Pelodiscus sinensis: one gene and its partner. The protein of the gene in region 1 purifies or fractionates together with the protein of each later gene. This does not show direct contact. Links are inferred from orthologs where the notes say so. Each region holds a gene or a part of one and is shown on either strand. Other genes may lie near its edges.

Region 1 (7,004 bases):
ACGATGGAGATGAGGATGACCAGCACAGAGATGATGGCGATGATGCGGGCGGCCTGCGAGCTCTCCGGGTACTCGAAGAGCAGCCAGACCTGCTTGAGAAACTCCTGCCTGGGCAGCGGGCGCTGCTCCTCCTGGGCAAAGCCCTCGTCCTCCCGGAACTTGCTGAGCGCCTCCTCGCCCAGCTGGTAGAACTTCAGCTCCTCCAGGAAGACGTCGAGGGGCACGTTGGCGGGGCGCCGGAGCCGCCCGCCCGACTGGTAGTAGTAGAGGATGGAGTCGAAGCAGGGCCGGTTGCGGTCGAAGAAGAACTCGCCCCGCAGCGGGTCGAAGTAGCGGACCCGGCGCCGCGGGTCGCCCAGCAGGGTGTTGGGGAACCGGAGCAAGGTCCTGGCCTGGGTCTCGAACCGCAGCCCCGCCACGTTGATCACCACCCGCTCGCAGCAGTCCCGCCGCAGGCACGGGGGGAAGGGGGCGGCCGCCCCAGCTGCCAACGCCAGCTTCTCCATGGCCCGGGAGGTCAGGGCCTGGCAGCAGACGCCATGGGCCGCGACAGGGGTGCTCCCCACCGTGGGTGCCCCGCCTCGCTCACCGCCCTCTGCTGATTCGTTCCCTCCTTTGCACTGCGCTCCCACCTCCTCCGGCCCCGATCCGCTCTCCCTGTGGCCTCTACTCCGCCGGGCCGAGTCCCTCCTCCCCTTCCTGACCACAGCCCGTACCCCCTCCTCTGGCCCTGGGTGCCTCCTTCCCTTCCCAAATGTAGCCCCTGCCTTCTTCTTTGCTCTCTCTTTCCACGCTCAGCCTGCTCTCCCTTCTCTTCCAGCCACGATTGCCTCCTCCCCTTCCCAAATGCAGCCTGTACCCACTCCGATTTGCTGCCCCCTTCTTGAATGCAGCCCGTGTCCCTTCCTTCGGCCTCGATTTGCTCCCCCCTTTCCTTCCCACGCCCCGCGCGTACCCTCTCCTTCTCCGGCCCCGAGTCGCTGCCCCATTCACGCCACACCTCTGCCCCCCATACACACCCTTTCCCTCTCACCACTTTTCCGCTCCTCTCTTCTGCTCTGAGATTTCCCCTGCGCCCCTCTTCTGTGGACCCCTCTGAGCCCCTTTTGCTCCTGTCCCCCCTCCAGCTGATCCGTCCGTCCGCCCCTGATACCAAGGGCCAGGATCACTGGCTGTAAACACGTTCCCAGCCTGGGAGGTGTCGTGTTCTCAGGACAGCTCTGACTTCCAGCACCCTTGTGCCAAGCCCCAGCACCCGCCTCCACACCGCTGCCCCTTCGGCTCCGAGGGCACTAAAAATAACAGGGGAGCAGACAGCTTCTAGGGATGGTGTCAGGGGAGGGCCTGGGAGCTAGGACGCTTGGGTCTCTCCCCAGCTTTGGAAGAGGGTGGGGTGCAATGGTTAGAGCGGGGGAGTTCTGGCAGCCAGGTTCTGTTCCCACCATCTATAAAATGCAGAGATTAATTAACAAGCATAAAACTGATCTGTGAATGCCAAAGGGATAAATGCCTCCCTTCGGGGCGTGTGTGTGTCTCTCTCTATTCTAACAGACTCTCATTAACCAAGATGGGGTTAATTAATCTAGCCTAACAAGCAGAGAGGGTAATCACACCCAGGTGCTGTGAAGTAACAAAGCATCAGGGATCAAGAGATAATTGTTGTAATAATAAAATAATCTGTTAATGGATATGACACAAGTCGCCTACCAATGGCTGGCATTAACCTGCCCAGACTAGCGGGGGAGTGAGAAACGGGGTTAATTCATCAGTTGGGTGGCTTTTGCACTTTACCTGCACAATAGGCACTGTGCCAGCTTCCCTGGGTGTAAGCAATACACCATGCTCTAACCGCTAGACTCCACTGCCCTCCCTGTGAACTCAGGCATCCTGGCTGGCAGGTTTCTATCCAAGGCTGGCTGGTACCAGCGCCATCTGCTGCTCTGCTGTGGGCATCTCTGCTGCAGAGCCATGTGCGATTCTAGACCCGGGGCATGTGGCTCCCCCCGTAACCTTGCAGTGCCAAGCCTGGGGCGTACCGGGCTCTGGCCTGAAGGGCTGTACCCCAAACCCAGCTGGGATCAAGCTCCGTACCCCAGTTGTGATCAGATGAGGGATGTCACCAAGGTGTGTGGGGGGGAGTCACCGGGCTCTGCAGCCAGATGTGACTCAGCCAGCAGGGAGAACAGAAGGGGGTGATAGGGACACAGCATAGCACAGACTTGTCAGCACAGGGACCGGGAGCAGTCAGTACAGTCCAGTTTGGGGAGGGGCGCCCCTGAGCCAAGGGCCCTGACCCCCAACCCTGCACCCCAAGCCAGCTGAGACTGACCCACACACCCAGTAGATGGACTCTGTCCTGCAGCCAGCCCCGCCAACGGCTTTTGTCCTGCTTCCTGGGCAAAAGATGTCACCTGGTCCCCCCCCCCTTCCCAAGCTCAGGTAACACAAAGCGTCAGCCATTGTATAGGTGGGGGAGGCTGTCACACTGAAATTCCCATCCCTGTCTAGGGATTGGTGCGGTGCCCAGGGAAACTGAGGCACACGGTGGTTATTACAAGCCAATAGGAATCACATGCAACATAATGAGGGGTATAAAATCCCCACAGTCCCTACTTCATCACAGAGGGTTATGGCCTGGTAGTGAAGGTGAAGTTCAGAGGAACTTAGGGTGAAGTTCTGGCACAGTTATGGCCTCCTTATGTGGTGTAAATTGGGGGTCATGGCCCGGTTGCTATGGTGCTGGATGGGGGTCATGCCCTGGCTGCTATGGTGTAGGTCAGGGGTCCTGAGCTTGGTTGCCATGGTGAATGTTGGGGGTCATGGACCAGTTGCTGTGGTGGAGGTCGAATGTCATGTCCTGTCAGGGGTCATGGCCTGGTTTCTATTCAGGTCAGGGGTTATGGCCCAGTTCCATGGTACAGGTCAGGGATCATGGCTCAGCTTCTATGGCATAGGTTATGGGACATGTCCTGGTTGCTATGGCACAGATTGGGGGTCGTGGCCCGGTTGCTATGGTGGAGGTCAGGGGTCATGGCCCGGTTGCTATGGTGGAGGTCAGGGGTCGTGGCCCCGTTGTTATGGCGCAGGTGTTAATGCATCTGGGAACAACGCACACGTTTAGCTACAATTACGTAGCCAATCGTTAGATCGGCAGCTACAGCCATGAGCCGTGGATTTAACCGGGATTAGTACACCCGACAGATTGCAACTCAACTTTTCCATTGACCTCCACGCCAGGTACTTTGTACAAAATTTGGTACAACAATGGTACAAATGGCTGTTGTCAAACATACAGTACCATAACAGGTCGGGGTCATGGCCTGGTTGCTATGGCATAGGTCAGGGGTCAGAATCTGGTTACCAAGGTGCAGGTCAGGGGTCATGGCCTAGTTGCTATGGCATAGGTCAGGGGTCAGAGTCTGGTTGCCAAGGTGCAGGTCAGGGGTCATGGCCTGGTTGCTATGGCATAGGTCAGGGGTCAGAGTCTGGTTACCAAGGTGCAGGTCAGGGGTCATGGCCTGGTTGCTATGGCATAGGTCAGGGGTCAGAGTCCGGTTACCAAGGTGCAGGTCAGGGTCATGGCCTGGTTGCTATGGCATAGGTCAGGGGTCAGAGTCTGGTTACCAAGGTGCAGGTCAGGGGTCATGGCCTGGTTGCTATGGCATAGGTCAGGGGTCAGAGTCTGGTTGCCAAGGTGCAGGTCAGGGGTCATGATCCAGTTGCCACGGTGTACGTCACATGTCAGCATCTGGTTGCTAAGGTGCAGGTCAAAGGTCATGGCCCGGTTGCTATGGCATGGGTTGGAGTCAGGGTGCGGTTGCCATGGTATACGTCATGGGTCAGGGCCTGGTTGCTATGGCGCAGGTCGGGGGTCAACACCACGGCGCCAAGAGCGCCGCCGGCGACGAGTATTATGGTCTGCCTGGCCCGGGTTCGGGCGCTACTTTCCCTGCGGCTGCGGAGGGATCAAGTTCCATCTCCGCCCCTTCCGTCAGCGCGCGGCCTCGCGCCTCCTTGCCCCGCCCCGAGCGAGTCCCGGCCGCGCAGGGATTCGGACGCGGTGACAGGGACACGCATGCGCAGAGCGGGCAGGGAGCAGGCCCCGAGCAGGCGGCAGCGGGAAGAGCTGAGCGCGGCGCGGCCGGTGAGGGGGGGGTCGGTGAGGGCGGGGGGACCACGGGGTGGGAGGCGGGGCCGGGGGGGAACTGGGGGGAGCAGGAGGCGGGGGGACCAGTTGGGCGGGGGGAAGTGGGGGAGCAGGGGGCGGGGGGAAGTGGGGGAGCAGTGGGAGGGGGGAGGGGCAGTGGGGGAGCAGGGGGCGGGGGGAAGTGGGAGGGGGCGGGGGGAAGTGGGGGAGCAGTGGGAGGGGGGAGGGGCAGCGGGGGGCGGGGGGCAGTGGGAGGGGGAGGGGCAGTGGGGGAGCAGGGGGAGGGGGGGAGCAGGGGGCGGGGGGCAGTGGGAGGGGGAGGGGCAGTGGGAGGGGGAGGGGCAGTGGGGGAGCAGGGGGAGGGGGGAGCAGGGGGTGCGGGGCAGTGGGAGGGGGGAGGGGCAGTGGGAGGGGGGCAGTGGGGGAGCAGGGGGCGGGGGGCAGTGGGAGGGGGGGGAGCAGGGGGCAGTGGGAGGGGGCAGAGGACGGACAGGGCTGCCGAGGCGTTGGCTCTCCTGAAGGAGATGGGAGGGGGGTGCAGCTGGGAAGCAAAACCCCAGGAAATGAGGAGTTTAGCTGGCCCCTAAGCCCGCTGGGTTATGGCAGGGGCGGGGGGGGGGGGAGGACACACGTGGCTGGAGGGAGTGTGTTTGTTGTGGGATCTAATGATCTGGCCTCTCTTTCCTCCAGCAGATCTCCCAAGATGACGCAGTTCCTGCCCCCCAACCTACTGGCGCTTTTTGCCCCCCGGGACCCCATCCCCTACCTGCCCCCACTGGAGAAGCTGCCTCATGAGAAACACCACAACCAGCCCTACTGTGGCATCGCACCGTACATCCGGGAGTTTGAGGTGAGCTCACCCCCCAGTAGGGCAGCGCTGATGGGGCGGGGAGGAGCTAGCTGCCTCCAACCCCCCTTTCTCTACTGTAGAGCTTCCTGGCTCCTCCATTTCTGCCCAACTCTGCCACTCACCCACTCAATGCCCTGCTAACATAATTCTCCCCCATCCAGGACCCACGCGATGCCCCTCCGCCCACCCGTGCCGAGACCCGTGAGGAGCGCATGGAGCGGAAGGTATGGCCACCTGCTAGCATAGGGGTCAGCCCACCCTTCCCAAGGCATGGGAGAGTTATCTGGGTCGCCCCACAAATAACCTGCTTCACTCTGTGTGGTGAAGGGCAGAGCTGCCAGGTTCTCTTCTGGCCACCCTTGGGTATCCCTTCTCCTATATAGTCTGGTGATTGAACCTTGGGGCTGGGAGCCAGGACTTCTGGGTCCTCTCCCTGGCCATTCTGTTGTTAACTCCGTGTGAGGACTTTGGGAGGAGTGCCTGGTGTCCCAGCCTGTGAATTGGGAGAAAAACACTGCGGCGAGTAGCGAGGAGGAAGCAGTGAATTCGGCAGCACTTTGAGAGTCTCAAGGGTGCTCATGGCTAAGGCTTCAGAGCCCCCCTTGAGTCCCATCCTGAGGTCCCTCTCTGGAGCATCATTGTGTGGAGTCCAGTCCTGTCATTCCTTCCTTCTGAGGTCCCTCTCTGGAGCATCATTGTGTGGAGTCCAGGCCTGTCACTCCTTCCTTTTCCTTCCTGCAGAGACGAGAGAAGATTGAACGGAGGCAGCAGGAGGTGGAGAACGAGTTGAAGATGTGTGAGTGGAGGGTCCCGTCCGGGGGGGGGGGGTTGCTCTGACTCCCACCTCAGGGGCAAGTCAGCAGCTGGGAGGGTGAACGTGGGCTCAGGGTGGCAGCAGTTTGTTTCCCTGCTATCCGTTCCATGTGCCTATTCCTGATCTCTCCCTCCCCAGGGGACCCGCACAATGACCCCAACGCCCAGGGAGATGCCTTCAAAACCCTCTTCGTAGCCAGAGTGGTAAGTTCCTTCTAACTGCCCACCGCCCCATCCACGGGCACCTGCTTCTCCCCAACCCTGGTAGCAGCCATCTCAGCCTGTGCTCTGCCCCACAGAACTACGACACAACAGAATCCAAGCTGAGAAGAGAATTCGAGGTCTATGGCCCCATCAAGCGGGTAAGAAGCTGCTGCCCACAGGCCTTGCCTACAATGAGCCTCAAGTAGCCCGTCGGTCACAGGCCGAGTCGTGCCCAGGGAGACGTGCCAGGCCCTGGTGGGAAAACCCTGGCAGACAGAGTCCACTTACAAAGCCCCCTTGTTCCCAGTGCAGCAGATTGGCCCTGGGGAAGTGACAGGGTCTTCAGGACAGATGAATGCTAGGGTGGGGTGGGTGGTCCCCTTGACTTGGGAGTCTGCAGATCCCTTGGGTCGTAGCCTCTGTGGACTCCTGGACTCTGGCAGCTCAGTGCTGAGACAGTGGCTGTAACGCACTCTCGTGCGTGGGGTTTGGCCAGGTACCTGCAGGGCTACGGTGGGGATCAGCTGCACCTGGAGATGGGACGCCGGACAGGTCCCTGCTCAGGGGTGAACCCCAAAGCCCTTGCTGTGGGGCTTGTTTGCTTGCTTGGGGATGGGAAGTCCCCTCCATCCTTCCCCGGTCTGGTTGGCAGGGCCCTTGGGGGTGTTCCTGGCTCCCCCATTCTAGACCACTCCTCCCCAAAGGCTGTAATGAAGTTGGTGTGCCCTGCACCCCAGTTGGTGCTTGAGCTCCTCCCGCTGGCGTGCCAGGTGTTAACTAAGATGACAGAAGGTGCTATGGGGCAGTGGCTTGTGTCAAACTGAAGCTGAGGCTAAGCAGTGTGTGTTGGCACAGGGGAGCCGTTTCTGGGTCAGTAACTTGCTTCCTGCCCTCCCCAGATCTACATGGTGTACAGCAAGCGTTCTGGGAAGCCACGCGGCTACGCCTTCATAGAGTACGAACACGAGCGAGACATGCACTGTAAGTACC
Region 2 (7,893 bases), on another chromosome or scaffold:
TGTGTGTGTGGAAAGCGGCTTGGCATGGAGGACTCCTCAAGCCATACTTGGAGTCTCTACTGACCTGCTTTCCACACCAACTAGTTAGTGATCTTTCTAACTTTCTTCTTCGTGGAGAGAAAAAGTGAATTTTGTCCTTCAGCTGGTGGGAATTCACAGTTGAGATGTGGTTTTACAGTCTTAGTCACAGTGATCTTTGGAATATTGCATTAATTGGGGAGATTGCACTCATAACAAGATAACTTGCAGGTGAAAACACTGATATTTTGGCTATCTTTGGAAGATTATAGGATATAAACTGGCCTTCTAAGTTGACAGCCTAGCAGGGTAGTTTCATTCAACATGTGATCTCATAATCTTAACAAAGATCTCTGGTTCAGTTTGTGTCAACATGTCCAGCTGTGGTAGTATTAGTAATGTAGACTCACATCATGTTCTTTCAGGTAAGATAGCATTCCTAGTAATACAAAGTTTTATTTCTAGACTTAACAGCTGAGTTTCATTTGTCCATCATACAGGCAGTCACTGTTAGCACAAATCCTTTAATTAGGGTAGAGAATCATACCTTATTGCTTCTATCAAAATTCAGGTCTTCTGTCTCATCTACAATTGATGCAATATTCTACTAACCTATTTGTAAGGTGAGAGGATGAATTATTGGTGGACACTTCTGAGGCTGCAAATGTGTTTTGCACTAAACTACTGCAATCTCCAGATGACTTTTTATTACAGTTAGATAGCAATTTAAGTGTGATTCAGGTCAGATTGTTGCTTTTTATGATGTAAATGAAATCAAATAATGTAAAACTTCTCTACTGTGTTTATTGACCCTCATGCTAATGGTCCAAAGTATTCCATATTTAAAGAACAGTCACAATGTAGAAGATACACTTCATATTATTTTCTTAGTCACCTGATTATCTACTTTTTGGTTATGTGGGGATTACCTGTGGAAGAAAGAATATAAATCTTTGGGATGACAGTCTTCTGCTAAATTCCATGTTTGCACTTAGGGGAAGTGGCAGCAGCTTGCTTTTTACGCATGATAAAACTAAAAAAATTAAGCTCTGAATATTTTTGCTGATTATCAATAAATGTGTGTCTTAAATTTAGTGCTTCCAAATCTACATAAAATCTGAATCAAGGACCAATTTTAAAATATTTTGTCACTTTTATGATTTGTTAAACTAGACATGAAATTTGCTTATGGCACTGTGCATTGTTTAATATTTCCTGTAAGTACAGTTGTATATTCAGATTGCAATTATGAAGATTAAATATTAGGAAAAAAAGTAGAATACTAGGGTTAGCACGGTTGTCATTAATGGCCTAGCACACAAAACACTGCATCATCAGTGTTTCATTGTGTTATGATTGAAAATATGTACAGTTTTTTGCAATAACAATTCATTTTAATCTTGAATGTTTCTGAAGGCCTCTTTGGTTTTGTTAAACATTACCTGTTCATAAGTGCTAGTAATAAAAATGCAAAGTACATGTTGCTTTTAGATGCTACAGTGGAAATATCAGTTGACAGTTTAACTGAGAAATTCTTTCTAACTTAATCTCAGACATCAACTCTGTAATGGGTAAGAAAGTATAAGAACTCTATAGTTAAATATTTAAATAATGGTTTGTATGCCTCATTGGCAGGTGATGTTTTGAAATGTAGTCCAGCTGTCTTACTATGTGTATCTAAATCTTTCCTTGCATCTCCTGTTAAGAGTTTGCTGCAACAAAGACAAAACCTGGACAGCTAATATAACCACATAGCAAGAACTAGATTAATGTAGGTTTTGAGACTTGGAAGGGCATCTGTATTCCAATGCTTTGCAAGGAGATTGTGTACTGTATCTAAGTTTGCATATGATGTACTCATAAATTACAATAAAACTTTAATCTTTTCTAGATCCTGACAGTTGTTCCTGTATTTTAGTTGATGGGTTTAAAAATGCAAACTTTAAAAATTATTTCTTGGAAATGGCTGATCATCAGGTACATTCTGAGCAGTTAATCTGTAAATACAAAATTAAAGCCTTCTATTTTTATACTTAAAACTTTTAATGGATTAGTTTAAAAATAAGATTTTAATTAGCAAATATGTTCCATTTTCCTCTGCCAACTATGAACTTTACCTTTCTGAAAAACAAAGCATTTGGGGAGACACAGGAGAAGTTTAAAAATAACACGTGAAGTTAAAACAAAAAACAGGACTATGTAGCACTTTAAAGACTAACAAGATGGTTTATTAGGTGATGAGCTTTCGTGGGTCAGACCCACTTCCTCAGATCAAATAGTAGAAGAAAATTGTCACAACCATATATACCAAAGATGGTGACAATTTTCTTCCACTATTTGATCTGAGAAAGTGGGTCTGGCCCATGAAAGCTAATCACCTAATAAACCATCTTGTTAGTCTTTAAAGTGCTACATAGTCCTGTTTTTTGTTTCAGCTACACCAGACTAACATGGCTACATTTCTATCACCTGAAGTTAGACTCCCTACTTGACTCAATTCTTTGTCCACCCCTTTACAAGGCCAACTTAGACCACCAGCACTGTTTTTTATTGGCTCAGTGTTAGATACATGAGGGCTGCATCTACACTGGCAAGTTTTTCCGCCAAAGCAATTGCTTTGGTGGAAAAACTTGCCAGCTGTCTACACTGGCCGTTTTGAATTTGCGCAAGAACACTGACGATCTAATGTAAGATTGTCAGTGTCCTTCCGCAAATACAATGACTCTCCCATTTGGGAAAAAAACCTCTTGCGCAAATGCAAGATGGCTCTGCACATTGCTGTATTGTCTTTCTCCCTCGGGGGAGAGAGAGGATCAGCAATGCACCAAAGCATTTCTCCAGAAGCTTTCCCCCACTGCTGTGATAGCAGCAGGTGGTGCCTAGGAGTGGGCGGGGCATAGTCATGTGTGCCCTTGGGAATGGGGTGCCAGGTAACTGCCTCATTACCATAACCCTCCCAGCTTCTTCCGTGGTCTGCAAAAATTCCTTAATCCATCATACTCTCTTTCCCAAGGTTGCCAGATTAGAGGTACAAGTGTATTACAATGGGTCCTTCTATATTTGGTTTAATTCTTTCTTTATATCCTCAGCATTAGAGGAATTGGTAGACTCCCAGGGAATCAATGTTTTATCAGAAACCTGCTTAAAAAAAGATTCCTGGAGAAGCACTCTTATGAATATACTCTATCAGGGTATTTCTAAACTCTGAATCAAAACATTTGGTAGACCTAGGACTCTACCCTTAAATTTAAGAGACCAAGTGTGCATTTATATCAAGACACAAACTAACAGCCTGGCTACGTCTACACTGGCCCCTTTTCCGAAAGGGGCATGCTAATTTTAAACTTCAGAATAGGGAAATCCGCGGGGGATTTAAATAAAGATGTCCGCCGCTTTTTTCCGGCTTGTAGATAAGCCGGAAAAAAGCGTCTAGACTGGCCCGATCCTCCGGAATAAAGCCCTATTCCGGAGGATCTCTTATTCCGACTTTGAAGTAGGAATAAGAGATCCTCCGGAATAGGGCTTTATTTCGGAGGATCGGGCCAGTCTAGACGCTTTTTTCCGGCTTATCTACAAGCCGGAAAAAAGCGGTGGACATCTTTATTTAAATCCCACAGGGGATATTTAAATCCCCTGTGGATTTCCCTATTCTGAAGTTTAAAATTAGCATACCCCTTTTGGAAAAGGGGCCAGTGTAGACGTAGCCCCTGGGTTTATTGGTTAATTCAAAGGAACACACACCTTCCTTCCTGCCTCTATTGGGGGAGAGGTAGGCAGGAGCCAGTACCCTTGAGTGGGCTTTTAACATGGCTCCTTGTGCATGCTGGTTCCCATGCAGCTCCCTTCTCCTCCTCCTTCCCCCCCCCCAGTAGTGTGGGGAGCAGGCAAAAGCTGATGCTAGGAGCTGGCTTAAATGGGCAGCACTTGGGAGGGGAGGGGAAGAGAATGCTGGAACATCCTATTGGCAGAAAGCTTGGGATTTTTAAACCTAGTTCTACTGTGGACCAGCTCTGCCTGCCACTCCACACTGTTTCCTGTGATATGGAGGCAGAAGCATGGGATGGCAGGGGGCTTCCCCAGGAGTGAAGCGGGGAGCTGGTAGTGCAATGGCTGTCAGTCTCTGCCCCAGGAGAAACATTTTTAATAACCAGGTAACCATTAAAAATTGTTGTGACTATATGATTACTAAAATATCTAACATCCCTATTAAAAATATCATAATCCATAGGTAGTACTACTACACATTAATGTGAATGTGGTCCTGAAATGTATTCAGCCCTCCAGTGCAGGATAGCAGCTTATCTGATGTCATAAAGGGTAATTTTGGTTCAAAGTATTTCCTTAAAAAATGCCATTGAGTCTCTACTGCCAATCCAAAGCAGCACTGATATTGGTGGAGAGGGGGTACTAATCATTCAATAAAGGCATACAACTAAAGCAGAAATGTCTGTTGTTCACAATCCCTTGCATTTGTTGAACACTGCGTGTCGCGTACTCCTCTGTACCATAACGGAAACTTAATCAATGTCCTTTGCTAGTTGATTGATGCGTAGGAGGGGTCCACATTTTGGCTGCGAGAGTCTCCTCTTTAAGCCCAGCCTTGTCCTAAACGTCTTGACTTTTGAGGCAAAACTGGGCTTTTGCGCAGTTTGCTTTCGCGTGGGGGAAGGGAAGCAAGCAGGACCCCTGCCGTCCCTGAGCCAGCGCGCCGGTGCGAGACAGAGCCGCTCGCGGGGGGAGTGCGCTACAGCCGAGGGGCCGCGCTGAAGCCGCTGCCCTTTGGCCAGGCCCTCGCTGCCGGCGGAGCAGGGCTGGCCCGGCCCCCACAAGGCGGGAGGCGAGGGCCCCCGCCCCTCGCCTTAACGCACATCCGGCCGCGAGGAGCGGCGCTTCCGGCTATTGAGTCGCGCGACGCTCAGTCGCGCCAGCGCTGTTTCATTCACCGAGCGCCGGAGCGGCCTGGTCCGAGGCCTCCGCCCCGAGCTCAATTTTTTTTTTCTTTCTCCCCGTGCCCGGGTTGCCGCTCTGTGGTCCCGGCCGGCCTGACGCCCCCGCTCCGCCGCCATGAAGCTCGTGAGGTGAGATGGGCCCGGATGGAGGCGGATTCGGGGGCGGGCAGCGGCGGGAAAGGAGCGCGAGCGCTGGGCCGCAACCTGGGCCTTCCGCCGTCTCGTGCCGCGCCGGCTGCTCGCGCGCACCTCACTCTTCTCCCCCCCCCCCCGCCTCGCGCCGGGCGTCCCGTTCCACAGCGGGTGGAAGCAGGGCGCAGCTGTGCACCCCCCGTGCAGGTTCCGGGAGCCCCTCCCCCTAGAGCGCGCAGTTGTCTCGAGGTGGCCGTTGCCACCCGCCCCCTCCCCACGGGCCGCTCCTGTCCCCAACGGCCCCGTAAGGAACGTGACTGTTAACATCACGCACGTGACTTCTTCCACCCCCCCCACTACGGCCTGTGGCCCCTGGGCGGCGAGTCTCTGCCAGAGACTCCTGCCCGGCCGGTGCCTTCGCCCTTTGCTCGCTGGTTGCGACTCCTAAGTCTTTCCTCGCCCCGCGCGCACACGTGGATGAGCCTGGTTATGGATAAAAGAAAGTGTCATTGCCCCATGGGGGGGAGGGTCATTTCCCGCCTGTTTAAATGCGACTCTCATTGTTACACAAGTGTCTACTAGCCAGAAGAGTTACTCCCTGATAACTGCGAGACGGGGGAGTAAGGGGAAGTGTGGCTCCCCTCTTGGGGAGTGTTGCTAAAACTCAGCAAGACTGGGACTCCCTTGTCCCTAGCTGGGCCACAAAGAACGCTTATTCCCAACACCATATGTCCCTGCTAAACAATAACTTGAACAATTCTTAAAAGTTACATTTTTCAGTGTCGGTATTGTTCATGTCGTGCACTTCATTCAGTTTGTGCAAATGAAAATAGATTAGTTTGTTGTATTGTCACTTTCACTTTAGGATTGGTAAACAGTGCAATGATTTTTGGGCTACAATGACTGTTTAATACAAAAGGGTTATTTAGGGTTATTGAACATACTTTTACCATTGACAGTTTTGTAAAACCGTTTTTTTTTTTTAACAAAACAGCTCCTGGGATAAGTAAGCCTATTTCTGTTTAAATATTGTTGTTCCAACTATAAAAGCAGTAGGACTAGAACAGATTGCTTAGGGAGATTTGTTGAAGCTCCTTCACAGGAGGCTTTTGAAAAGGCTGGATAGCCATCTGCTGTTTTTGTTGGTTTAGATGTAACAAATCCTGCCTCTTGGCAAGGGGTTAGAAGAGATGACCCTCAGTGTCCCTTATAGCCCTGTGATTTAGGGCCATACCAAATTCACAGTCCATTTTGGATACTTTCAGCATCATAGGATTTTAAAAATCTTAAATTTCATTATTTCAGCTATTGAAATCTGAAGTTTCATTATATTCTAAATGTAGGGATTCAACTCAAAAAGGAGTTATGGGGGACTCAAGGTACTACAATCCTTACTTTTATGCCGTTGCTAATGGCAGCACTATCTTCAATGCTGGGCATCTGAAGGATAGCAGCTGCTGGCTGGGAGCTGAGTTCTGAAGACAGAATCACTGCCAGCAGCAGCTCAGAGGTAAGAATGATTGGGTGTGCTGCCGCCTGTTGAGCTGGACGCTCCGTCATCAGTTACCATGCTCCAGCTGCCCAGCTCTGAAGGCAATGATGCAGAATTAAGGATGGAAGGTATGGTATTGCTACCCTTACTTCTGTGCTTCTGCTGCCTGGGTGCTGCCTTCAGAGCTGAGTGCCTGGCAAGGAGCTGCTGCTTTTCAGCTGCCCAACTCTGAAGGCAGCACAGAACTAAGGATGGTAATACCACAACCACCTCTCCCCCTCCCCCCAAAATAACTCCCCTGCACCTCCGTTTTGGGTCAAGGCCCTCAGTTTAAAAAATGCTGATCTCCCCAATTAAATCTGTATAGTAGAGGGTAAAAGTGCACAAAAGCCTAGATTTCACTATCTGATATTCCTTTTTTATGGTTGTGAATACTTTACTTGGTTATTTGCCCCATAGCAATGACTGTAGTTCCTGTATTTATTTTGTTAAAAAGCAAAGCTTGTCTTAAATGACTGTCAGGTAACTAGTAAATGTTTTTTGCTGAATTAATGCATTATAATGCTTAGATGCCAAATGCGTATCAGAATTGTACTTAAACTCTTTGTGGATTCTTTGGAACAGTTTCCAGTCAGGATGCTTAGGAATGGTGTGTACAGTCATCACTGGCTTTTTTTGGTTGGTTGTAGCAGTTCCTCAGAGTTCATACAGAATTACCTTTTTTGGAATATTATGAGGTTTGAGATCACTTCATATTGTTTGTAATGCATATGCCAGGGCCTAGGTGAGTTAAGGAAAGTGGTAGAACCTCATTTTCCTAAGTTCTGATGATATGAGACAAGACTTTTACAAAACATTTTCAGAAAAGCCATATAGTTGATTATTACTGTATTGTCATATGGGAATGGAAGTTCTGCTTTTCAACTTCACTTTTATTTTTCAGGTTTCTAATGAAATTGAGTCATGAAACCGTGACCATTGAACTGAAGAATGGAACACAAGTGCATGGAACAATTACAGGTATGGAATTCAAGATGATGGAGACTAAAAACCAAAATAATTAAGGAATTGATAGACAAAGGAAAATCCATTCTCTTCTAAAGAGACTCCACTGTGATAGCTAAATGAGTCGTCTTAGGAGATGGATTCTGTGAAAAATGTGGTGGCAAATAAAATCACCTCACAAGCAGTAGCATAAGAAACATCATTTTAGGGTTTTTCCTTATTCAGGGGTGTGGTTTTTTTTCCCTTTGCGGTGAATGTTTAGACTGTACGTGTATCTTTAATTTAAAGAACAGCAAC

What was found.
Region 2: the proteins of SNRNP70 (region 1) and SNRPD1 purify together in Homo sapiens (affinity purification with mass spectrometry; 6 studies listed by BioGRID and IntAct, counting the BioPlex papers as one, with this or other methods). This does not show direct contact. The link is inferred for Pelodiscus sinensis from reciprocal best matches to the Homo sapiens genes SNRNP70 and SNRPD1.

The regions. Positions count from the first base shown.
Region 1 is NW_027465870.1:61,238-68,241, forward strand, and holds the start of SNRNP70 (U1 small nuclear ribonucleoprotein 70 kDa), read left to right. Parts: upstream 1-3,990; 5' UTR 3,991-4,144; intron 4,145-4,837; 5' UTR 4,838-4,850; coding exon 4,851-4,997; intron 4,998-5,158; coding exon 5,159-5,221; intron 5,222-5,738; coding exon 5,739-5,793; intron 5,794-5,949; coding exon 5,950-6,014; intron 6,015-6,109; coding exon 6,110-6,172; intron 6,173-6,913; coding exon 6,914-6,995; intron 6,996-7,004. Other genes in the region: KCNA7 (potassium voltage-gated channel subfamily A member 7), read right to left, coding at 1-506. UniProt on the Homo sapiens protein: Component of the spliceosomal U1 snRNP, which is essential for recognition of the pre-mRNA 5' splice-site and the subsequent assembly of the spliceosome. SNRNP70 binds to the loop I region of U1-snRNA.
Region 2 is NC_134712.1:178,735,579-178,743,471, forward strand, and holds the start of SNRPD1 (small nuclear ribonucleoprotein Sm D1), read left to right. Parts: upstream 1-4,876; 5' UTR 4,877-5,082; coding exon 5,083-5,096; intron 5,097-7,534; coding exon 7,535-7,611; intron 7,612-7,893. UniProt on the Homo sapiens protein: Plays a role in pre-mRNA splicing as a core component of the spliceosomal U1, U2, U4 and U5 small nuclear ribonucleoproteins (snRNPs), the building blocks of the spliceosome.